Arabidopsis thaliana: one gene and its partners. The protein of the gene in region 1 interacts with the protein of each later gene in a pairwise test. Each region holds a gene or a part of one and is shown in the gene's direction. Other genes may lie near its edges.

Region 1 (6,962 bases):
CGAGATAACAGTGGTGTAATGATAACAATCAAGTATGATAAAGGGTTGTTTAGAAGATCTGTGAATGAGATGATAATGCTTAATGAGTTACCTTTTTCATTTGTGGAATTTGAAAGGTTTAGGAGATTTTGTGCCAACAATCTCTCATGTACATGGTTCATTGTAGGAAGACATCCACTTCAGATTGTTATGGAATGTTTTTCCAAGAGAAAAATTCTTTGAAGAAGTTGTTTGATAAGGATAAACAGAGAGTGTCATTGGTAACAGATATTGGGTAGCTACCACAACTTCTTGTAGTTACATGGTGGTGACAGCTTACTAGATTGATAAATATTGGAAATTACAGAAATGGATCATTAGCTTCAAGCATGTCATTGATCACAAATGATATATCATTGCATCACTTTTGATTGGCTGTCTAGATGAATTGGGCATCAAGAAAGTCTTCACAATGAGTGTAGATAAATGCAAAGGGAAATGGCAAAGCTTTACGGTTATTCACAGAGGATTTGATGGTGAGAGTTCTAGATGCATTAGTTCAAAGTGGTGAGTATATTCATATGCGTTGGTGCGCTCATATTTTAAACCTGATAGTCAAAGATGGGATATGTAAAGCTAATCATAATATAATGGCTATCCAAAATGCAATCAAGTATGTGAGGTCATCGAGTGAAAGACTCAAATCTTTAAATCTAGGGTTGAGGCATGAAATGTAAGTAAATAAAACTTATGTCTAGATGTTGTTACTAGGTGGAATTCGACTTATCTTATGCTCACAGTTGCAATCACGTTTAGAGGTGCATTTGATAAGATGTTGGCTGAAGATAAGTTATAGAAAAGAATGAAGATGATGATGCTGATGATGATAATGATGGCAAACATGTTGGTCCTCCATCTTCTGCTAGTTAGCTGGGATGAAGTGCAAATGTTAGTTAAGTTTCTGAAAATCTTTTTTAATTGCATTCTTTCCTCTTCAACATTTAAATAAGTGACATCCTCTATTTGGTATAATCTAATGATGATGGTTATGAGATGATGGACTCTTTGTACACTAAGATGGTAGCAGAGACTACAAATATAGAATCTAGTAAGGAACTTGACATTTACCTGCTTGAAAAATATGTGCTAAGAATTACAAGTGGTTTGAGATTGGATTATGATGTCTTAAGATGGTGGAGGAGGAATAGTTCTAAATTGCAATCTTTGCAGAATTAACAAGAGATGTGCTTGTCATACATGTCTCCTTTCTCAATTTAGAGTCTGCATTCAACACTAGTGGTCGTATTTTGGATCCTTTCTGAAGTTGCTTGTCACCACTCATGGTTGAATCATTGATTTGCATTCAGCAATGGCTCATGAATATCATTAGTTGAGAAGTTAGCAAACCTGATTCAGATGTTCGAAGAATTAAAGTTTTATGAGTCTTTAAGTACTCATTTTCTCTCTATCTTTCAGTTTTTTTTTGTTGTTATTTTTATATCTATAGACTCAACTACATTTTATTTGCCTTGTGTAGCTTCTGAGAGTACTCATACACAATCATTAGTTGCTCATTGACGTGGAGTTGAAAATTGAGGTATATTTGATATATTTTTTTGTCATTCATTTACCTGTGAGAGCCTTTTCTTTTAATCAGTAATATATTTTTATTTTCTTTCACAACAGACAAGGTGACAAATGCATTAAGATTTTTAAGCGGCTTAAAGGCTTGTCTTTTCTCTTTATTTATTTTGTATAACTAACTCTTTCTCTTTTGGCATCGACAAAACAATGACAACATACCAAATGGACCTGTAAGAACTTAGGCAGAATGGATCATTGGTAGTTTGTCATTTGTGTCAAGTTACATGTTTTTTGGAACAACTTATGTATCTTTTGTATATATCACGATGATTAAGGTTCGCTACTAAGTTGTTGTTGTATTAATAATTGATGCGTCTTTTTGTTTGGTTGATTTTACATTCGTTTAGTGATCAGACCAAAAAAACTGAATAAACCATGTTTGAACTGAACCAAAGCGAATTATTAATCGGTTCGTTTTAGAAAAAGTTCATTTTCCAAAAAAAACAAAAATCAAGTAACGGAAACAGAATTAACTTTTTCGGATCAAAATTGCATGCCTATAAAATTTTATGTTATTAATCCAAATCCATCCAATCATTTTTTTTCGTTTTTGAAACCGATAAATTATTTGTTATTGTTTGTGAACAATATTCAAAAGTCCCAAATCAATAAAAAGAAGAAAAAAACTAATTATGATTTGGAAATAAAAAAAGAATTAATCAAATCAAATTAAAATCCTCACTAAATTGTAAACATGGTGTACATAATATGATTACGTGACAAAATATTATTGAAAAGATATCCAAAAAATTGCAAAAAAAAAAGAATAAGAAAAAAGGCCAAAACCAAATTCTCAATTCTGGTCGGAGTTTGTCTTTATAAAAAAATCTTAGAAGCCATATATATTTTCTGTTTATATATTTTGTACAACAAACTCTTTCTCTTTTAGCGTCTACAAAATAGTGACAACATACCAAATACACTTATAAGAACTGAGGCAAAATGGATTATTGGTACTTTGTCATTTGTCAAGTGACATGTTCTTTTAGAACAACTTATGTATTTTTTGTATCATGAATCATGATGATTAAGGTTTGCTACCGAGTTGTTTTTGTATTCATAATTTATGCGTCATTGTTGTTAACTTGTTGTTTGGTTGATTAGTGATCAGACCAAAAAAATTGAATAAACCATGTTCGAACTGAACAAAGCGAATTATTAGTCAATTCGTTTTAGGAAATGCTTTATTTTCCAAAAACCCCGAAAAATCAAGTAACCAAAACCAAATTAACCGTTCGAATCAAAATCAAAGACCTATAAAATTCTATGATATTAGTCCAAAACTAAATCCAAATCCATCCAATCATCTTGTTCTTTTTCCGAAACCAAAATAATATTTGTTATTATTTATGAACAATATTCAAAAATCCCAAACCAATAATAATAATAATAAAAAAAAACTAATTAGGATTTGGAAATTAGAAGAACAACTAATCAAATCAAATAAAAATCCTCACTAAATTGTAAACAGGATATGATTACGTGACAAAATATTATTGAAAAAATATCCAAAAAGTTGCAAAAAAAACAAAAAAAAAGCATAAGCAAAAAAAAAGAGAGGCCAAAACCAAATTCCCAATTCTGGTCGGAGTTTGTCTGTAAAAAAAACCCTAGAAGCCATATATAAACACCACAAGTAAACTCGTTTCTTCACCTTCCTTCTCTCCTTCACTCTAATTGCGATTGATTCTCCTGTCTTCTCCAATTTATCAGGTAATTGCTTCTGCTTCATACTTCATACCTTATTTTCCAATCTCTCAATCCATCTTTGTATTGGAGCAAAGTTTATACCTTTCAATTTCTCAAACTCGACTAGTTATAGATCTATGGAAGTTCAGTTCAAACCTTACATATATAATATCTGGAGAAACCAACTATGTGTACTTGCAATTACAATAAGCTAATAGATTTCGTACTATAAAGTTAGATCCACATAGTACAATTCTAAGTTATGCAGATTGGAGCTCTTGTGAATTTTTGTTTGATTCGATTTTGCTTGAGACTGTCTTAGAGAAATTGCAGAGATGACACCTGAATCAAACGCTCCCTCAGTAGATCCACAATTTGTAGGCAATGGGTTTGTTCAAGAATACTATAACCACCTTTATGATTCAACCTCGGAAGTACACAAATTCTATCTCGAGGATAGTATGATTTCACGGCCTGGTCTCGATGGTGAGATAGTTACTATCAAATCCTTGAAAGTAAGTTCCTTTAGCCACTTTCATAGTATGTCTCATTGAATTATTGTTGTTAGTATTGATTCGACGAATGTTTCATCGTGTTTGCAGGGGATTAATGATCAGATAATGTCCATTGACTACAAAAGCTCAAGGATCGAGATTCTAACTGCTGATTCTCAATCAACTTTAAAGAATGGTGTTGTAACTCTAGTCACGGGTTTAGTGATCGGGAACGATGGAGGAAGGAGGAAATTTTCTCAGAGTTTCTTTCTTGTGTCGCGGAATGGAAGCTACTTTGTGCTGAATGATACCTTTAGGTATGTGTCTGATGAGTTTGTTGAACCAGAAGCTACCAAGGAGGTTGAGGAGAGTCAGTCAACAAATGCTATCACTGGTAAGTCGTTTTACCAATGGTTTCAAGAATCTGAAAATATTCACCACCTTGACATTGTTTTGATTCATGTGGTAATGGTTTTGATTAGCAGAGCCTGCAAATGAAAGTGTAGAGGCGGTTATTGTCCCTACTGAAGCTAAAACTACGGTGACGAAGCCAGCAAGTGCCATACCAAACGGACATGCGAAAGTCCCTGAGGAGAAAGTTGTGAATGAAAACAGTAGCTTACCTAAAGCTGCTGAAGCAAAACTTCAAGAGGAGGTTCCCAAGAAATCGTTTGCATTAATTGTAAGTCTCCTCCTTTGTGCTTAGTTTTTATCGTATAATATCCTCTAATCTGTTGGTGTGATTTCAAACTTACAGGTTCAATCTCTGGCTCAAAGCGCTGGTACTTTACAGGTTAAAGCCTCGCCGGTCAAGCGTAAACCTGTCGAAAAACCGGTTGCTGCTCCGGAGCGCAAAGCTCCTTCCCCAATTCGTAAACAGGCTTCTGCTGAAAGCATTAAACCACAAGGTTGGTTATTCATTGTTTAATAGTTAAAAACAATGAATTTGAAAATTCTTCTACTTGCTTTTGTCTCATTTGATTATTTGTTTTTCACGTATCAGCTCAGGGTAGTTCCATATTTGTTGCAAACTTGCCTATGGATGCGACTATTGAGCAACTTTATGAAACATTTAAAAGTTTTGGAGCTATTAGAAAGGATGGTATCCAAGTCAGAAGTTACCCGGTTAGTTATTCTTTCAATGATCTACAAAAAAATTATTTGCAAAGTTTGAAAAACCTTATAACTGGTTCAATCACACGCTTAAAAATCTGTGAATTTTCAGGAAAAAAAGAACTGTATTGGGTTTGTGGCATTCGAAAATGGTGAAGCAGTAAAAAATGTCTTTCAGGTATGTTTTTGTTTGCATATCAAACTCTCGGCTATAATGTAATTTGAAGTTCTTGTTATCTGATCTCCAAATGCACAACTCTAGGCTCACAGGGAATCACCAATCAGAATCGGAAACCGAAGAGCATCTATAGAAGAAAAGCGAGGCAAGTTTCTGAAAGGCATTGTTGTCTCAAAGATTGTAACTTTAATTAAATGTAAAAACAAAATCCTAATCTTACTTTTTCTGGATTATGCAGGAGGTAACAATCAAAATGGCAACAGAGTCTCTACAAGAAACAACAGTGGTTATAAAAATGAGGATGGTTTCAGACGTGATGGATACAAACCTAGGGGCAGTGGCGTCAATGGAGGACGAGGCTATGGGAGACGGAACAGTGAGTCTAATGGGGATGGTAAAGCATACCAGAACAATGGCCATGGCAATACTGAGGCCAAAAACTAGATTAGTTTTTTCTTCTTCTAAGCTTTGCTCATGGTTGAGAATCTGAGGTTGTAGGCGATGTTAAAACAAATTTTTGTTTCCGTGGATATCTTAGGTGTTGATCTTTTCGATTTGTGATATTGTTTGGGGATAAATCTAGAACATTTTTCTTCACTCTTTGATCTCTGTATCTTCTCATGAACAAAGCAGAGAACAAAATCGAATTGATTTAAGGTTCTAATGACCTACATACTTTCTTTACAGGAGATAAACTCCACAACTTTTGTTTTTGTCTAATCAAACATCAAAACAGAATCAAGAACAAGAAGAACAACACCACGGACATTGAGGAAAACATGAGAAGCACCTACACATTGACTGCTTCTGATTTGTTGCATCTGCTACTGGTTTTTGTGACTCTTGTGACTGATTTGCTTGTTCCTTCTGTTTCTCCGTTTCTACCTTTCTTGAATCACTTGCAGCTCCAGCCAAACTGTAAAAACCAAAAAAGCAAAGCAAGAAACTTTCATTAAAACCGAGGGGAGGAAATGTTTGTCAGCCATGGTCATGGATGGAGTGTATTTACATTGGGAAAGAGAAGGAGTGCGCGCTGTTTGAGCTTCGGTTAGAACGGTAAGAAGTTGTAGGAGTTTTCCAAGAAACAGCAGGATGTTGTTCTTTCTCATGGCTTTCTCTTTTCCCTTCTTCTTCATCTGATGATGATGTATGTGTTTCTTCTACTAGTACAACTTTCTCTTCCTTATCTGATTCAACAACTTTCGGTTCTTCGACTACGGGTTTTGGTTCCGATCCTGGTACAGGCGGCATAGGAAGTCCAGGACTATACGCAAGTAACTCACCGGATTTATAAAGTTCACCTGATTTCATCAAATCACCACCATAACCAGTGAAACTATTGTTTCCTAAATGAATACTGAAGAGAGATTCATTCGAAGTGCAGCTCCATTCAGCTGGCACATTCGATTTGCTTCTCTCGAAAACCGAAGATGGAATCCTATTCGGGTCATATTTTCCGTTGTTATCTCTATCCATTACTTGAACAGGTGGTGAAGAAATCTCCGGATCATTCAATGATTCTTTTAGTACCTCTTCAGGTAGATCTTTCGGTGGCGATAAATACGAAGAAGAAGAAGACGAAGATGACGAAGACGACGATAATCTTGAATGTGATTCTGAGTTAATAATTACAGTTTCTGTTTCTTGTAAAGGTATCGTTTTATGCTCAACATCTCCATTTTCGTCGTCTAATGAACCTTTTTTGTTTACATCTTGATCATGTTTTTGTTTGGATAACACATGTTCTTCATGTTTAGACTCCATAAACACCTGGAGAAGCAATCATCAATGCATCATTTTAAGCAATTTCTCGGGCTATTCGAACAAATATAACATCAAAAAACATACCTTGAAATCGATTTGAC
Region 2 (7,405 bases), on another chromosome or scaffold:
AAAGATGACTAATAAAAGCTTTTTGATGCTCTTCCTGTCCTTAGCAACCCTTCCTGATGTTGGCGCTACATGATAACTCTAGAATGCACCTAGAGCAATTGGAACAATCTAGAGGAACCTGTGAGAGAAGCTTCTATAGCTCCAACTGATTGCTATTACCTCGACCCTACCTTGCATACGGATGGTATCGACTACTGCTACTATAACCCCTCCCATATGGACCACCTGCTCCTTCATAACTGCCACCTGGGCCACCAGATTCATATGCACCGCCGTAACCAGGCCCACCATATCCCCCATAGCCTTCCCCTCCTCCACGAGGATATCCCAAATAGGCTCCTTCTCCTCCACGGCCATATCCCTCACCACCAAACCCACTCCCATAGGGTCCAAAACGACTAGAATAGCCAAGGGGTGGTTCATTCCGGTAACCTCCTAAACTACCACCCCCATAATTATTATAACCTCCTCCAAATTCAGGGCCTACACTGCCACGACCATACCCATATCCCCCAGCATATCTACTAGCAGGACCTCCATGTGACCTAATGGGACCTGGAGGATGACCATACCCTCCATCAAAACCTCCGTAAGGTCCACCATAACTTGCATAACTATCGTTAGAAGAACGACCTCTAGGGTGACTACCGTAAGAAGGAGGTGAACGGTTTAGAGATTTCTTTGGTTCAGCTTTCTTGATCTCCACCTACAACAAAGCAACTTAATTAACCTAGCTATGCTAAGGACCCAAACTATAGCAGGGATTTCCTATCTTACTGTGACAAGCTCCTTACATTTGGTAAGCTAGTGGGTAGAATTCTAACTAAGTTAAACGTGTATAATGAAAGGAACAAGGAGAAAATATCAAATTGAAACCAAGATAAATATGTCATCATGAACCAAAATTCTAATCCCCATTTGTACAAGCTTACCTGAGTGTCTGCCATATCGATCATGTTTCCTTTGGACAATAATTCATCTACGACTTCTTCGCTATCAAAAATTACAAAACCAAAACCTCTGGACCTGTTTGTTTCATGGTCTCGAATAACCTGGTGCTCCACCACGTTCCCATACTTGGCAAAGAAGTCCTTAAGTTCATCTGATCAACAGAAAAAGAAACCAACTTCAATAAGGACAGGAAACCAGCATTCTCATGGAAAGCAAAAAAATATCATGCCAAGAGGGAGGTCTACCTTCTGTAACCGTTGAGGGTATACCACCAACGAAAATCTTCTTTGTTTTGATGTCCTTTGACTGATTGCCACCAGCACCTTTCGGAATAGTCCTTTTGATCTCAACCTGTTCCATCAAAACAAGGAAAAAAGTATTGATCAAGACCCAACACCCTACTAAAAATGAACACTATAAGCTAGTGAAGGAAGAAAAGAGAAGTGGCCGACCTGTTTGCCATTGATGACATGAGTATCTTCGATAACTTTGTCAACAACAGAAGGGTCAGCGAAGGTGATGAAACCGAAACCCCTAGGTTGTCCAGTATGTCGATCTCGCATAATGACAGAATCTGTAATCTCCCCGTACTTGCCAAAGTGCTTATTGAACACAGCTGCAATCAAAACCAAAGTGAGCAAGTAGAATCAACATTCCAACAGGTCTAACATCAGAAACACACACAAGAATCCATAACATAACAAAACTTAGAAACGCAATTTCTAGAACAAAACAAGAGGAAGAAACTTACTATTAGTCGTGTCTTTGTGCAATCCTCCAATGAATATTTTCCTGCAACACAAAAATTCCAAGCAAAACATAAATTAAACCTTAACCAACAATATAAAAAGAGTTACAAAGCCAACAGATTATGAGATATTTCCCTTAATCCTGTGGAATCAAACATGCAAGAGGTAGGAGAAGTAAACGTACCCAGGACTAGCGCCATCGCCGGACTGGAAATTATCATTACGAGATCTGGAACCCATCGCAGCTCCTAAATTCAGTTTTCGATTGAGCTAAAGGATCGAGAGAGACACCGAAAGCTAGGGTTTTGATAAGATCTGATGTCTCTTCATCTAATTAGAGGAGATAGCTAAATCGTGTAATATATATATATTCTTAAATTTGGACATCGACTTGTGGAAACAAAACAAAGTTAATATTTTTTTACACAGCTGTCTATTTTTCCTATTCTTGTAAAAAGACAAAAAAAAAAAAAGTAAATTGTTGACAGTGGGATTTGAACCCACGCCCTTTCGGACCAGAACCTTAATCTGGCGCCTTAGACCAACTCGGCCATATCAACTTTGTTGTCTCTCCTTCCATTAAACGCGTACAAAACAATCAAATAATGAGGAGGAAATCGATAAACAGTGACGTCAGCGTATAAATATACGTAGAGAGAGACATTAAGCGGTAGATTGTACGGAAATAAATAATAGTACTCAATCAAATAATGAGGAGGAAATTGATAAACAGTGACGTCAGCGTATAAATATACGTAGAGAGAGACATTAAGCGGTAGATTGTACGGAAATAAATAATAGTACTATATACGAAGTCTTTATGTTCAACCCATATTTCCTCTCTCCTCCTCCCTCCGCTTCTCTTTCTCTCTGTAACCAACATGAGCAGGATCAGCGGCGATGGCGGCTCTAGGGTTTCTATTCCGGCTGATCTGCTTCAAACCATTCAAAACATCAGAGAGGTTACCGGTAAACAACATTCCGACGAGGATATCTTCTCTGTCTTTAAGGAGTGTTTCAGTGATCCACATGAGACCACTCAGAAGCTTCTCTATTTAGGTTGTTTTACTGAGAAAGCTTCAGCATTTGTTTTTGTTTTAGTGTTTTTACTTCCTTTTTGTTGTATTGAGCGTGTGCTTCTCCTAGGGTTTTGTTTTGGATTTTGCTATTTAATGCCCTTTGTCGATTTTGGTCTTGTCTTAGAATCTGTGTGTTATGCTTAGAATCTTATGTTTTGTTTATTTAGATTTCTAATTGGTATAATATGTCTGGGGATGTTCAAATAAGGAATCTTTTTTACTGAAATGGAATATGTAGAATTTGGGTTCATGACTAAGAAACTGTCGTTTTAAATCTTTACCAATCTAGCTGGAATGTGGAAAGGGAATTTCTGTTTAGCTTTGATTGAGATTGGGCATCTGGGTTAAGTTTTGATTCTGTCTACTGTTTCAAGATCAACATAATCATGTACTTTGATAGCAGACATGTACTCATATATTATTACTGATCTTTCAGATACATTTCATGAGGTGAGAAGCAAACGGGAGAGAAAGAAAGAGGTAGCTTTCCTATGTTCTTTTGAATCCTTACTTTGCATTTTAAGTGTGGTCTTGAGTTCTCTGTTTAGCTTACATCATCTCGTTTCTCTTATGCCTTTATGTGTATTACCTGTTGTAGAATTTAGTGCCAAATACACAAGGAAGGGGCCGGACTGGACGGAAGAACTTTGCTTCAAGTTACACAGGTCATTGTGGTTTATGTTCTTTTACTTCTAAACTTGTGTTCTATATTTCCTTCCTTGATTCAAGCTCTTTGTTGATTCAGATGCCAGTAATGGAAGAAGTGCAGCTTTTAAAAAGCAGAGTGGAGCTAATCACATAATAGGAGGTTCTGGAACTGCTTCGTCTGCTCCTAACAATGCAAGAAACGACACAAAACCTTCTTCCATAATGTATCCATACTTTTAATTCTGTCTATGTCTTTAATTCCCTCTTTGGATATGGGCTTCCTAACGCATTCTATTCTTTTTCAGGGCCCCGAACCCTATAAGTCTTCCAAGTGGAATCAGTAACCAGAAAATTCAAGATGCTATCATATCCCCTGTGGACAAGGTGGACACAGAGGAACAGCCTCTCTCCAAGGCTACTTCTTCTTCTAAGGATGTTGTTGAGCCGGATAAGTCTAAAGAAAGTAGTGTATCAGTGGCTGTATCAGATTCTGTTGTAGAAAACGATACTCAATATGCTGTAGTTGAAACTTTTCAGATCCCACAACAGTCCGAGCGAGGTATAAATTATACCATATAATTACTTGCCTGCTAATGTTGCTTTAAGTGCATTCTGTATTCTGTTAAGTTGTTCCTGAGTTTGATTACAGCCTCTTATGTGATTCGACGTATGGCTTTATTTGGAACAGTCATTAAGAGTGAGGTTGCAGCCAGTAAATGCAAGAATGAGTCGCTTCTCAAGTCGGATGTTGGTGAACGGCCGCACGTAACATTTCCTGTCCACATTCAGGTTGCCAAAATGCTGGAAAATGGTCTGACATTTGGGAGCTTCGATTCTAATTTTGTGAGAGAGGCATCTTCTGACAAGTTTACTATTGGGTGTGATGACTCCAATATTGAGTCTTCTCATGGGACAGCCGCATCAGCTAGGTTGGTGACTAATAGCTACTTTGAGTAAATCTTACAGTGTTACTTGCTTCAATATTCTCATGAATTGATCTAGAGTCTCAGATGAATGAGTTTCTGATATGAATACCTTTATATGAAACTTGGTTTGCAGGAAAGATATATCAACTTTTTCTCAGGATAAGAATCATGAGATTTCAAATTCAGCAGCTCAGAACGAGTTAACATTGCAGCCAGATCAAACTGTTCTCCCTGAAGAAGGTTCAGAAGGAGATAAAGTAAAGAACGAGGTTTTACCAATCACAGACACTCATCAGGTTGGTTATTATCAAGAAGCCCCACACAATGTCTTTTTAGTCTTGTGCATTCATTGTCAGCATCAGGCCAACCGCGTGGTTTTTCTAGCCAGGAAATATGAACACAATGCTTAATCACTGTCTTTTATATTTTGTTGATAATTGCAGGCTGCAAAGTGTGATGCTCCACCTATCTCCTATCCTGATCAGTATTCCTTAGCAGCCGCTCAACAGGCAATGCACCTTTATAGGCAACAATACTCTCTTAACTATTTCCCTTATGGTCCATATTTCCCCCCTTATTATATGCCGCAACCATACATTCACCAGTACTTGAGCCCAAATGGGTTCCAACAACAGTCTTACTTACCACCCGGAGATGATGCTCCAGCACCTCCAGGGGCTGAACTACCTCTCACTCACATCAAACCCGGAAGCGACATTGGAAACTCTCCACCTACCACGATTCCATTCTCATATACTTCATACGCCTTCAACCACATCCCATCAGCAGCCACCATAAATGCTACTCACAAGGAAGAAAAGAAGGAAAACATGTACACAACTGGACCACTGGTTAGTTTTTCTCTGACTCTCCCCACTGTCATTGCATGTTATGCTATAGTTTTTTAACACGGCTCCATGTAGCAGAGTCTAGCCAATCTGCAGGCCAGTCCCATGTACAACTTATCCCTTCAAGGTCAGCCTATAGCTTTCCCAACCATGCAGGCTGGGATCCGTGGGTTATATCAACAAACACAGCCAATACTGGCGCCTCTATCTATATCTGCGAGGACTGAACCCATAGGACCATCGCACGTAACTAATCAGCAACCTCAAGCTGCACGAACAAATCTGGGAAACAACTACTAGGTCAAGGAGTATTACTAGAAAGATGCATATTCAGATTGGTACGAGATGTTTAAGTCTGGAATTTTGAGTGATTTTGTGTACATACTTAGGATACATCACCCCCCAAGAAGAAGATTAGTATTTGGCAAGGGGACAAGAGAATTGGTGCCTTTTGTTTTTTCAATTTTTGTGAGTGCCACAAACCGCTTTGATCTCGTTTATCTGTAATTCTTCCGAATCTTACAATATAATCAAGTGATCAGTTTATATGAGCAAGTGGACATTTATTCTCGTACGTTGTGATCGTCAATGAGCAAGCCAAGTCGATAAATGTAAATGATTTTAGTACCATATAAAGTATATTGAAATTAATATAGTTTCATTTGCTCCTTGTTCAAGTCAACAAATGCATTCAATTTAATACAAAAACATTGAAAGAATGTGGTCTACCAAACTAACACCCTGATAAACAGAGAGAAAAAGAGAACACAAAAAGCAAGAAAGTTTCAGGTTTGACACAGTTGATCCACACACTTCTTCCGTTATATAACACAAGCCTACATTCATAACAATTTTCTTGTGGAACAAGAATAAGAAAGATAACATGGAGATCAGAAGATCAACAGAAGAAGTTGAAGAGAATCATGTAATGCAGATTACAGGAAGCAATGGCATAGTTCACAACATGGAGTTCATGCCACAAGCTTACCTCAGAAACCAATACTCATCCGAGATTGACATTGATGAAGAGTTCGTTTCCACTTATCCTCTCGAAGATGCCCCTCTTCCCATCTTTCTCAAGGTTCAACTTTCTCTTTTGCTTTCGATTTTCCTTCATTAAGACAAAGCTTATTGGTTTCGCCTCTTTTATTTATATGCAGTTTGAAGATGTGGAGTATAAGGTGAGAAACAGTCATGCTAGCTCAGCAAACCTGGTGAAAACAATGGTGTCAAAGGTGGTAACACATACAAATCCGGATCCAGATGGATACAAGCACATTTTGAAAGGCATAACAGGAAGCACAGGTCCTGGCGAAATCCTTGCGCTAATGGGGCCTTCGGGTAGTGGCAAAACAACTCTTCTGAAGATAATGGGAGGAAGATTGACAGATAATGTCAAGGGGAAGCTTACCTATAATGACATTCCTTACAGTCCATCTGTTAAGAGGAGGTGAGTTGGATATTTTCTCCTACCTGAATCATACTATTATGTGCTGATCTTTCCCTGTTTTCCAGAATTGGCTTTGTGACGCAAGACGATGTTCTGTTGCCACAACTTACTGTGGAAGAGACCTTGGCATTTGCTGCGTTTTTAAGACTTCCAAGTAGCATGAGCAAGGAACAAAAATACGCCAAAATAGAGATGATCATCAAAGAGCTCGGCCTCGAAAGGTACACTTCTTGAATATTTCCAGCTTATAGTGAGACCTAGCTCGTAGACTTTCTTCAAGCATGTTCTTGGTGATGTCCAGACACATTTCTTGTAAACACTAAACTAAGATTTATTGAAAAACACAATGAAAGATGCCGTCGGACAAGAGTTGGAGGAGGTTTTGTCAAGGGAATATCAGGTGGAGAAAGAAAAAGAGCAAGTATAGCTTATGAGATTCTCGTAGATCCTTCTCTGTTGCTTCTAGACGAGCCAACTTCTGGACTTGACTCCACTTCTGCCACCAAACTTCTTCATATTCTTCAAGGAGTAGCTAAGGTATCAGTTTCTAGTTACATGCAAATAGATTACTAACAAAGTTCTTGAAAGATACAGTAGAATAAGATTCAGTTTGTCTTTTTCAGGCAGGCAGGACCGTTATAACGACAATTCACCAACCATCAAGCAGAATGTTTCACATGTTTGACAAGCTCTTACTGATATCAGAAGGACACCCTGCCTTTTACGGCAAAGCCAGAGAATCTATGGAGTATTT
Region 3 (9,565 bases), on another chromosome or scaffold:
TCTTTAGTGAGTGATAGAGATGCTGACATGCATAGCTTGTACGAAGCAGCTAAACACCAACAATGGTGGATCTAAGAAACAAGAAGAGGATGAAGAAGAAGAAGACAGAGTTATTGAAACACCCAGGTCTAAGCAGATTAAGTCCCTGACGTCACAGGTAGAGATAAACATTCTTCCTCTGTGTCACTTTCACGAAAAAAAAACACAAATGAGAAAAGGACCATTTTTTGCTCTTGTTGGTTTCTGTTTGGAAGCTAAGAACAAATCAATTTAAGTCCGTGACTTTCAGAATGTTTTTCACTGTGTATTTAATTTTGTGAATAACATGTGATTCTTGTATGTGAATCTTCAGATTAAAGACATGGCAGTAAAAGCATCAGGTGCTTACAAAAGCTGCAAACCGTGTTCTGGGTCGTCTAATCAGAATAAGAACCGAAGCTACGCTGATTCGGATGTTGCTTCGAATTCTGGGAGGTTTCGTTATGCGTACAAGAGAGCGGGGAGTGGAAGCTCAACACCGAAGATTTTGGGGAAGGAAATGGAGTCAAGGTTGAAAGGTTTTTTGAGTGGAGAAGGAACACCTGAATCCATGAGTGGTAGGACAGAGTCTACAGTGTTCATGGAGGAAGAAGATGAGCTCAAGGAATGGGTTGCTCAAGTGGAGCCTGGTGTCCTCATCACATTTGTATCATTGCCTGAGGGAGGGAATGATATGAAGCGGATTCGGTTCAGGTAATTTTTAACTGTTTTGTAGGATTTACACTAAGTAAAAGTTTGGATATTGGACTTAATCAAGATGGTACAATATGTTTCCAATCAGGAATATTGAAGATGATACTCAAATGAACTAATCCATACTGTTTTGAAATTGTTTAATTTGATTTTGGAAGTAGAGATGTGTGGTTCTTGGAGACAAGCAATGTGAGAGTACAGTTGATATTTAGGATATTATTATGTGAGATTTCTGTGTTGGAAACTGTTGCTGCTTTCATTTTTCTTGAATCGATTGAAGTGGTCCCAAACCATTTCTTATAATTATGAGAACTTGTACATCCTTTTTGCCAAGAAAGGTCTTTGAGATGTGGGTTATATTTCGGTAGTTGAATCCGATGGAGAACTTAAATGAATTCCCCAAGGACAATTGTGTGGGGAAGTGTTTGTGAATTTCGTAAAGTTCTTTTTGTATGTGGAACATATAATGAGAGCAAGATGATCTAACTAACTTTCTTCATGGCAAGAGGAACACTTCAGCTCCCTAGGATTGATATTTCTAGATTCTAGTTTTGACAATTTACTGCAGATCCCTTGAGTTTTGTGAACCTAAGACTGTTAACCTGGTAGCTCTTTGGTTCTGTATTGTATATGGTTAAGTCAGCTCCTAATTTGTTGATTTCTTCAAATTTGTATTACTTGCAGCCGTGAAATGTTCGATAAATGGCAAGCTCAAAAGTGGTGGGCGGAGAATTTCGACAAGGTCATGGAATTATACAATGTACAGCAGTTCAATCAGCAGAGCGTCCCACTTCCAACTCCTCCTAGATCTGAAGATGGGGTATATGCACCCTCTTCACTTCTGAACACATGAATCTACTCATCAAAACCTGTCTTTGATACTTTGAGGTCTAACTAGTTTTAATTTGGTATACCAGAGCTCGCGAATTCAGTCTACCAAGAATGGTCCTGCAACTCCACCTCTGAACAAAGAATGCTCTCGAGGAAAAGGCTACGCTTCTTCTGGCTCACTCGCTCACCAACCAACAACCCAAACACAAAGTCGACACCATGATTCATCTGGTCTTGCTACAACACCAAAACTCTCTAGCATAAGTGGGACAAAAACCGAGACATCATCTGTTGATGAGTCTGCAAGAAGTAGCTTCTCAAGGGAAGAAGAAGAAGCAGATCATTCAGGGGAGGAGCTATCTGTAAGTAATGCAAGTGACATTGAAACAGAATGGGTGGAACAGGACGAAGCAGGTGTTTACATCACAATCAGAGCTTTACCAGATGGGACTCGCGAGCTTAGGCGTGTTCGCTTCAGGTAAAGATACATTACTTTCTCTGTTCCTTAGTAAAACCCTTTCAAAAGCAAGCACTTTAACAACATTGTCTTTGTGGTTGTAGCCGAGAGAAGTTTGGGGAAACGAATGCAAGATTGTGGTGGGAGCAGAACAGAGCTCGGATACAACAACAATACTTGTGATGACCGATGACGGTCGAAGGCTCTCTAGAGAAGAATCTGACACACACCAAAACAAAACACTTTTCTTTTATATGTTTTACTTGGAAAAAAGCTACAGAGTGATGGAAATAACTTGGGATTCAGATAATGAATGTGCTTTTTAGTTGGTGGTTGTTAGTACATCTCTTTCTCTTCTTTCTCATCTACATCTATCTATAAAGAGGAGGTATTAGTTTTACTGGATTTTCTTGGTGTTATTTTCTTAAGGTAATGTACTGTATATAGTTTAATACTAAGAAAATTCATATTATTGGATTTGAAAATTACACTTTGTGCACTTTATTACTTTTTCTCTAATTATATTGACCATGATTGGTGCTAATAATTATGGCATGTACTTAAATGTTCTGAATAAGAAATGTATAAAGTAAAAACCAGTTAAATTGCCAGCTAACTTGTATCTCCTTAGAAATTTCCATTTCTCACTTCTCCTTTGACTAATCTTTCTATTGAGTTATATTAAGGGTAAAATAGTCAATTAGGTTTATCCAATTAGTGAATTTGGAACCAATTTTTTCGACGCGTGAGAATAAATCCTAACTTCTTTTTTTTTTTTGTTCTCTTAAAGCCGTTCCCTCTTCTCTGTACTCGAAACCCTAGTAGTTGCTCTATCCGATTTTAGGGTTTAAGAGTCGAATCATTAGCATCTACCTTGATTACGCTGATCTCACTTGGTTTCGCTACTCGATCCTTGAATTTCTTTGTTTTTTGTGTGTTTCGGTTTATTCGATACGTCTTTGATCCGTAATGGTGACTGGGTCCAGAACTAGCGGTAATCGTGGGGTAGGACTCGATGATGAAGCGAAAAAGATGATTCAATCGATTAAGGAAGTTGTGGATAGTCACTCCGATGCTGATATTTACACTGCCTTAAAAGAAGCTAACATGGATGCTAACGAGGCTGTGGAGAAGCTGATTCATCAAGGTTTCTTCTCTCTTCATCTCTTTTTCTGCTTTCCTAGTTTGACGGAAGTTAGGGTTTTACTGTTTGTTCTCTGGTCCGCATTATCTTGATCACGATGAATGCTACAACATCTTGTTTGAGGCGTATGTAGAATGCTGTAGATAGGTTATGCAAATTTCGTTTGATGGAGTTCTGTTGATAATTCGATAGATGGATAACTCTTGTTTTCATTTCGATAATTTGTCAATTCTCTTCAGAATACTTCAATTACTATATACTTGAAATATTATTGGTCTTCTTTTCTTGGCTCTCGTTTCGTTGGGTGACTAATATGTGTGTTATTGTTGCCATCATAGTTTTGGTTCGCTAAAAAGCTTTTGTTTTGTTCAGATCCATTTCACGAGGTGAAGAGAAAAAGAGACAGGAAAAAAGAGGTGAGGTTACATATAACTGTTATGGTATCTTGTTCCCAGTTCTTCTCCTTTTTAACATTTTTGCCAATGCAACCACATTGTAGTTTTTTTGTTTGACTCTCCTTAGTCTTTTCGAAACTGCATTTGAAGAAGGTGACTAGATTTTTCATAATGTTAGTTGTGCTTGTGTGACTATTATATCTCATCGGATGTCTGCTGTGGCAAGCTATATTTTTTTTTTGTTTTGTTTAGTATTTTGTGTGCCTTCTAATTTAATTGATCGTCAAAAAAAATTTCAACTTTTCTAGCCATTCAAATAGTTTGATGAATTTGTAGAGATCATCAAGACACCTCTTGTATAACCTCTGATTTTTAGGGCGTTCCTTTGGTTTCAGGATACAGTATTTGTTGAGCCTGCCAACATAAAGAAACCTCTTGAAAATGTTACCAGTGAAGTGAAAGTTCGTACACAGCCTGAACATAATGTTCGGAGAGGAGGCTACAGTAGGAATTTCTTCCCCAGGAACGCTGCTCAACGAAATGCATCTCCTAGAAATCCTGCTACTGGTAAATCAATTTGATGATGATATACTTGCCAGTTTCTTTCGCATGCTTGTACAGTTGTACTAAAAATCTTTAATTTGTTTTAAGCTGTCTTTTGAATGGTTCGTAAACATAATCTATATAACGGCAGTATCAAATGAACTTGGTTAAATCCAGAAAAATATATGCAGGCAAGCAAAGGAAACGTAGAAGAAATTGTTTTGCGTTGATTTGTTTTTTTTTTTTAATCTTTGTTATTGGCCATTGGCGTGAGGCCTTCAAGTTTTATGTAATGTATTGACCATATTCACCTAGAAATGTTTTTCTGTCTGTTTGTAATTTGTTCGTTTCATGTTAGTGCAGGATCCAACAAAGAGTTTCGCGTTGTTAGGGACAACAGGTCTAATCCAAATGTTGATGAAGAGTTGAAGCATTCTTCTGCCCAGTCCTCTGGATCAAATATTAACAAAGTGGTTGCCACTGTGAACAAATTGGGGTATGTATCATCAGTTGTAATTTATCCTATTGTTCTTATTCTAGCATTTTTATCACTAACTTGCCTTCTTTTATACATGTGAAATAGAATGATTTGTTACTCTTGTAAAAATATTTTAAGGGAGTTAATTTGCTTTAGCTGTACTTTTCCAAAAAATAGTAAAGTAGGACTCTTTTTTTTTTTTTTTTTTTTTGTCAATGAACTCTTTAAGACAATAAGAAGCATAGATTAGTTTTGTGCCATACTGCCATTGGGTTTTGGTAGACGGAGATAGGAGTGTGTATGTTCACTTGGTAGGCATTCCTTTGCTAGCCCAACAAGGACTTCTTGTCTCATAATTTCAAGAAAACTATGCTGAATTTAAATAAGAAAATAAAATTTTCGCTCTATTTTAACTGTTTGCCAGCTCAAGAGGTGGTTTGGGCAATCGTAACTCTTCTGGGGCTCAAGATTCAACTGACGAGTGTAATGCTCCAGCAGATGCCAGGCTCAGACAGGCTGAAATTCGTCCTTTGCATTGTCCTGTCAATAAAGAACTCGGTGGAGTTACTTTGCCATCAACCAATTCAGTTCTTGGTGTATATTCGTCTTCCAAAGATCCAGTTCATGTACCTTCTCCTGTTTCTAGATCATCACCCGTGGGAGCTATTAAACGTGAAGTAAGGGGTGGAGGTTTAGGTGGAAAACCTTCTGAAAATGTTGGTAAAGATCCATCTGTGCCCTCTTTTTCAGGGTCCTCTATTAGAAAAAATGGACCTCCAAATGCACATCGACCATCTTCCCCAACTTCAAAGATTGATCACAGTCGAACTACTGCACGTGAGTCTGTTATGCCCAGTGGAGTGGAAAAGAATAGGTCATATTTGAACAGACAGCGTGGGAATAGAGGAAGCCAATATGCTAGAACACAACAAGTTGGTGGCCATACAAAGGGTAACTTATATGCAAATATTTATTAACCGAATGGATGTTGTGCAATTTCTTATTTGATTTCTGCTAGGCGACACTTTATTTTCTGTGTAGCTTCTGCTTTGAGTAATATAATCCCTTCTTTCAATCTATTGGGAATTCCTGGTGAGAAGCCATTTCCTGTCATGACTTCTGATATTCTTGATCAACCTGTACTTATTGCAGGAGCCTCACAGAACAAGGAGTGGAAGCCTAAATCTAATCAGAAACCTGTTGGACATAACCCTGGAGTAATTGGAACACCTACAAAGTCTCAAGCTCGTCGTCCTGCTGATAATTCCATAAATGTGGAAACAGAAGCCGTCAAGTTGCAGAATAAGCTTTCACATGTTCATATAAGTGAAAGTCAGAATGTCATCATCGCAGATCATATTCGTGTCCCGGAGACTGACCGCTGTCAGCTAACTTTTGGTAGCTTTGTTCAAGAGTTTAATTCCTCAAGGAATTCAGAATCTGCTTTCGAAGAATCACACTCTTCAGAAGAAGTTAGAGAATCTGATCGTAGGTAAGTTCTGACAGTTGGTGGGTTTTTTTTTGTACATTTGAATATAGTTTGAGATCACATGCATCTTCCCCAATTAACTTGGTGATATTGTTGACAGTTCGCCAGTTACTTGTCCTGAGGCTTCAGCAGATGGTCCGGGCGTTCTGCCTATCACTATTGATGATCATGTCAGAGTTTCTAGATCTGACTCACCCGTCTCGGCAGTATCTGAGCCACAGTTACCCGAACAGAAAGAAACTCATAGATCTGACAATTTGGATGCGTACTCGGGGATTGAATTACTCAATAGGAATGGTCCACCTTATACTCCTTTGGAGTTTGAACAGCAGCAAGATCCTCCGGAGTTGCAAAAATTTTCTGTAAGGGTTCTTGCAATTTTAACTCTTAAAAATCAAGGAAAGATAAATTCATTCAAAAATGACATGCTCTTCCTTTCCAGCAGGCTTATGACAATCATGGTAGTTATGAATTTCCGTACTTTAGTCCTGCAATGGATGAAACTGTACGAGTTCAAGGATTACCATCTCCACACGAGGTAATTTATGTTTCTGTTGTTAGTTGTTACTAGTTTGCCAGCATGAGTTGATGCGTAAGAGTCTAGTTAGCTCCTGTTTGAGCAGTTGGTTTGTGCATGTGTCATAGTTATCTTTTTTGTTTTATTAACTAGGAAAAACTGATCAAGTATCCTTTTGATAATGCAGCAGGGATTAAGTGCTCACATGTTAAATAATGCCCCACCATCCACTATTCCCATGTTACAGCAACAACAGCAGGCATCAATGCAACAGATGTATCCGCAGGTCCATGTTTCGCATTTTCCCAATCTCATGCCTTATCGTCAATTCCTTTCCCCAGTCTATGTTCCCCAAATGCCCATGCCAGGCTACTCAGGTAACCCAGCAGCATATGCACACCCTTCAAATGGCAATAGCTATGTGCTGATGCCTGGAGGCGGTTCTCATCTCGGTTCAAATGGTGTCAAGTATGGAATCCATCAGCAATATAAACCAGTTCCAACTGGTGGACCTGCGGGTTTTGGGACTTACAACAATCCTAATGGGTATCCAACTAATCCTCCCAATGTAGTTGGAAACGCTACGGGACTTGAAGATCCATCTCGCATGATAAATAAACATGGAAATATTTACGTTCCAAATCCTCAGGTAATGATAATTGATAAGTATGGTAGTTGTGCCCGAACTTTATGTTTTTACCAATTATTTTTTATTCTGATTCATGTCTCCTTATCTAACACTACAGGCTGAGACTTCTGAGATATGGATGCAAAATCCAAGAGATCTTTCAAGCCTTCAGTCTCCATATTACAACGTAGCTGGACAATCGCCTCATGGTGCTTATTTATCATCCCATACAGCACACCAATCGTTCAACCCAACTGCGCAATCATCTCACATGCAGTTCCAGGGTCTCTTCCACCCGTCACAGCCTGGTACGATGGCGAATCCGCACCACATGGGACCTGGCCTCAGTGGTAATGTTGGAGTCGGTGTCGTTCCCTCTCCTCCTCCGTCTCAAATTGGTACCTATCAGCAATCACAACTTGGTCATCCGAATTGGCCATCAAACTTCTGAAGAAAATCTAACCTTTGTCTTCTTGTCTAATGGATTATATAATAGCCAAAAGCAAATATTTTGATTCTCCTTATGAAACGCCAAACTCTGTTTTAATTAATCTTTATTTATTCAATGCATAAAATGTTCCCAGCTCTCAACAATTTGTCTATAAATGCTTTGTCTGCTTCCATAGCCCCTCATTATTTACAGCTGCAGGTATGGTGTTATTCTCCCATGGCGTCAAATTGTCAAGGTAAAGTCCTGTCCGTGCTTCTTAATCATTTACTGCTATTATAGTTTCGGTCGACTTCAAGAACCCTACAATGCATGTGAAGGTTTTTAAGTGTGGAACCCTGTGAGTGAAACATTGTTGCTTGGTGCTAGTGTTTCCCATTGTCAATGTTCTACAAGTATTAAAGAGAATTGTGTGTTTTGTTTAGCTGTTCAATGTTCTTCTTTGAGTTATGTGTCTTCTCTCTCCATTTCCTCATATTCCTTATTAAATTCTTGATAGAGAATCATTAGTTGTTGAGCTTGACCTAACTTTCCTCTAGCCTTTAGAATAGATTACAAATATTCTTAATCGGAGAACTAGTTGAAGCTCAGGCCTATAGGTTTTGATTATCTCCTTGATTACTTTAGTTTTTAGGTGTCATAGCACACTGTGTCATCATAACAAAAGAATCTAATTGATCGTTTTGTTGACATATTTAGAAAAGTAAATATACTTAGTTTGGGGAGGTGGGTCTTAATCAAGGAGCCAACTAGAGTTTACTTAGAGCCTAATTGGTACGGACTTTGATTCCTTCTCTGATTTAATAGGCCTCCTAAGTCCTACCTTATTGAGAAATGATTACTCTCTACGAATCTCTTGAGACTCCATGATGTTGAGTCACTAATACTCTATTAATTTGTCCCATTTTGACCGGTCTAGGTTTTATTAAACGTAATTTCACTATTGATAACACCTACCGCACAAGTAAGGATTGGCTTGAGATTCTCTGAAAATTCTATAAATTTGTTCTTTGTGATTTAAAATGGTACTGAAAATGATTGAGGAGATTTTGTAATTAAAAAAGTAATTTTTGATTGAGACTATAGCTAGAGTAGAGTAGAGGCTTAGGGTTCATACTTCATAACTTAAGATAACCCGCATGTTAGAGGGATAATGATGTGAAATGTTAGCTCTTTTTGACCCTATTCTATATATCTCGTAGAAAGATTATAAGAAAATAAGAAGAATTAGCAAAATTTAATTGAAAATCAATTATGTTTACTTATCCTCAATAAGTCAAAAGGTCCCATGATCGGTTTTAGAGATTTACAAGCATGACCCCTAACTCCTTACTACTTCTGTTAAATCAAGGCTGGTTTGTTAATATTGAATCATAAAGATTTGAATTTCTCCCTACAAATCATCTAAATTTTGCGTAAATTCGACACGTAATTTTTATAGTAGGAAATTGTTTTCTATGAACGATGAAAAGTTTGAAACGTTGTATGTCACTGTGAACCTGACATGTCAAATCAGAGATAATGGAGTGATTTATAGATATCCATACACTGACTGATATATACACCAACAACATTGTTGTATGGTATCATAATAGTAAGTATATATTCTTGTTTGTTGGGCTGTTAGAGGGAAAATATTAAAATCAAACGTTTCTCATAAAGAGTTTGGACGAGTGTGCTCTTTAGCTATTTGATTGAAATGGAATCTGCTTTTGCTATTGCATGCACCAACTCAATTATGATGTGATCGGAATCTTTTGTCTTTCTTTTGTTTATCATATCCACACATGCGTGGAATCCCCTGCAACTTCTGTTCATTTGTACATAGTAGCTCTTTTGATCTTTTCTCTTTATTTATCTCTTTGTTTCTGCCTATGGTGTGCGTTATAAGATGATATCATAT

What was found. Proteins that work in one complex are often made in the same cells at the same time.
Region 2: the proteins of AT2G03640 (region 1) and GIP1 interact in a two-hybrid assay, tested with the Arabidopsis thaliana proteins (one large-scale study listed by BioGRID).
Region 3: the proteins of AT2G03640 (region 1) and AT3G13990 interact in a two-hybrid assay, tested with the Arabidopsis thaliana proteins (one large-scale study listed by BioGRID).

What each region holds. Positions count from the first base shown.
Region 1 is NC_003071.7:1,103,104-1,110,065, reverse strand, and holds AT2G03640 (Nuclear transport factor 2 (NTF2) family protein with RNA binding (RRM-RBD-RNP motifs) domain-containing protein), read left to right. Parts: upstream 1-3,198; 5' UTR 3,199-3,336; exon of another isoform or gene 3,337-3,634; 5' UTR 3,635-3,647; coding exon 3,648-3,827; intron 3,828-3,914; coding exon 3,915-4,200; intron 4,201-4,288; coding exon of another isoform or gene 4,289-4,291; coding exon 4,292-4,488; intron 4,489-4,563; coding exon 4,564-4,714; intron 4,715-4,809; coding exon 4,810-4,931; intron 4,932-5,031; coding exon 5,032-5,097; intron 5,098-5,181; coding exon 5,182-5,541; 3' UTR 5,542-5,752; downstream 5,753-6,962. Other genes in the region: AT2G03630 (suppressor SRP40-like protein), read right to left, coding at 5,836-6,013, 6,107-6,861.
Region 2 is NC_003074.8:4,249,383-4,256,787, reverse strand, and holds GIP1 (GBF-interacting protein 1), read left to right. Parts: upstream 1-2,509; 5' UTR 2,510-2,581; coding exon 2,582-2,759; intron 2,760-3,215; coding exon 3,216-3,259; intron 3,260-3,377; coding exon 3,378-3,444; intron 3,445-3,524; coding exon 3,525-3,651; intron 3,652-3,732; coding exon 3,733-3,986; intron 3,987-4,115; coding exon 4,116-4,356; intron 4,357-4,486; coding exon 4,487-4,649; intron 4,650-4,796; coding exon 4,797-5,204; intron 5,205-5,279; coding exon 5,280-5,501; 3' UTR 5,502-5,830; downstream 5,831-7,405. Other genes in the region: AT3G13224 (RNA-binding (RRM/RBD/RNP motifs) family protein), read right to left, coding at 167-706, 933-1,102, 1,197-1,302, 1,404-1,567, 1,703-1,743, 1,885-1,940; ABCG26 (ABC-2 type transporter family protein), read left to right, coding at 6,085-6,282, 6,362-6,651, 6,717-6,872, 7,005-7,188, 7,275-7,405. UniProt on the Arabidopsis thaliana protein: Plant specific protein that enhances G-box-binding factor (GBF) DNA binding activity. May function as a nuclear chaperone or lever and regulate the multimeric state of GBFs. May contribute to bZIP-mediated gene regulation.
Region 3 is NC_003074.8:4,623,808-4,633,372, reverse strand, and holds AT3G13990 (dentin sialophosphoprotein, putative (DUF1296)), read left to right. Parts: upstream 1-2,759; 5' UTR 2,760-2,989; coding exon 2,990-3,167; intron 3,168-3,536; coding exon 3,537-3,580; intron 3,581-3,954; coding exon 3,955-4,126; intron 4,127-4,465; coding exon 4,466-4,598; intron 4,599-5,004; coding exon 5,005-5,531; intron 5,532-5,732; coding exon 5,733-6,072; intron 6,073-6,169; coding exon 6,170-6,431; intron 6,432-6,511; coding exon 6,512-6,607; intron 6,608-6,773; coding exon 6,774-7,235; intron 7,236-7,332; coding exon 7,333-7,665; 3' UTR 7,666-7,990; downstream 7,991-9,565. Other genes in the region: ATBRXL2 (DZC (Disease resistance/zinc finger/chromosome condensation-like region) domain containing protein), read left to right, coding at 20-157, 353-732, 1,417-1,552, 1,650-2,041, 2,125-2,203.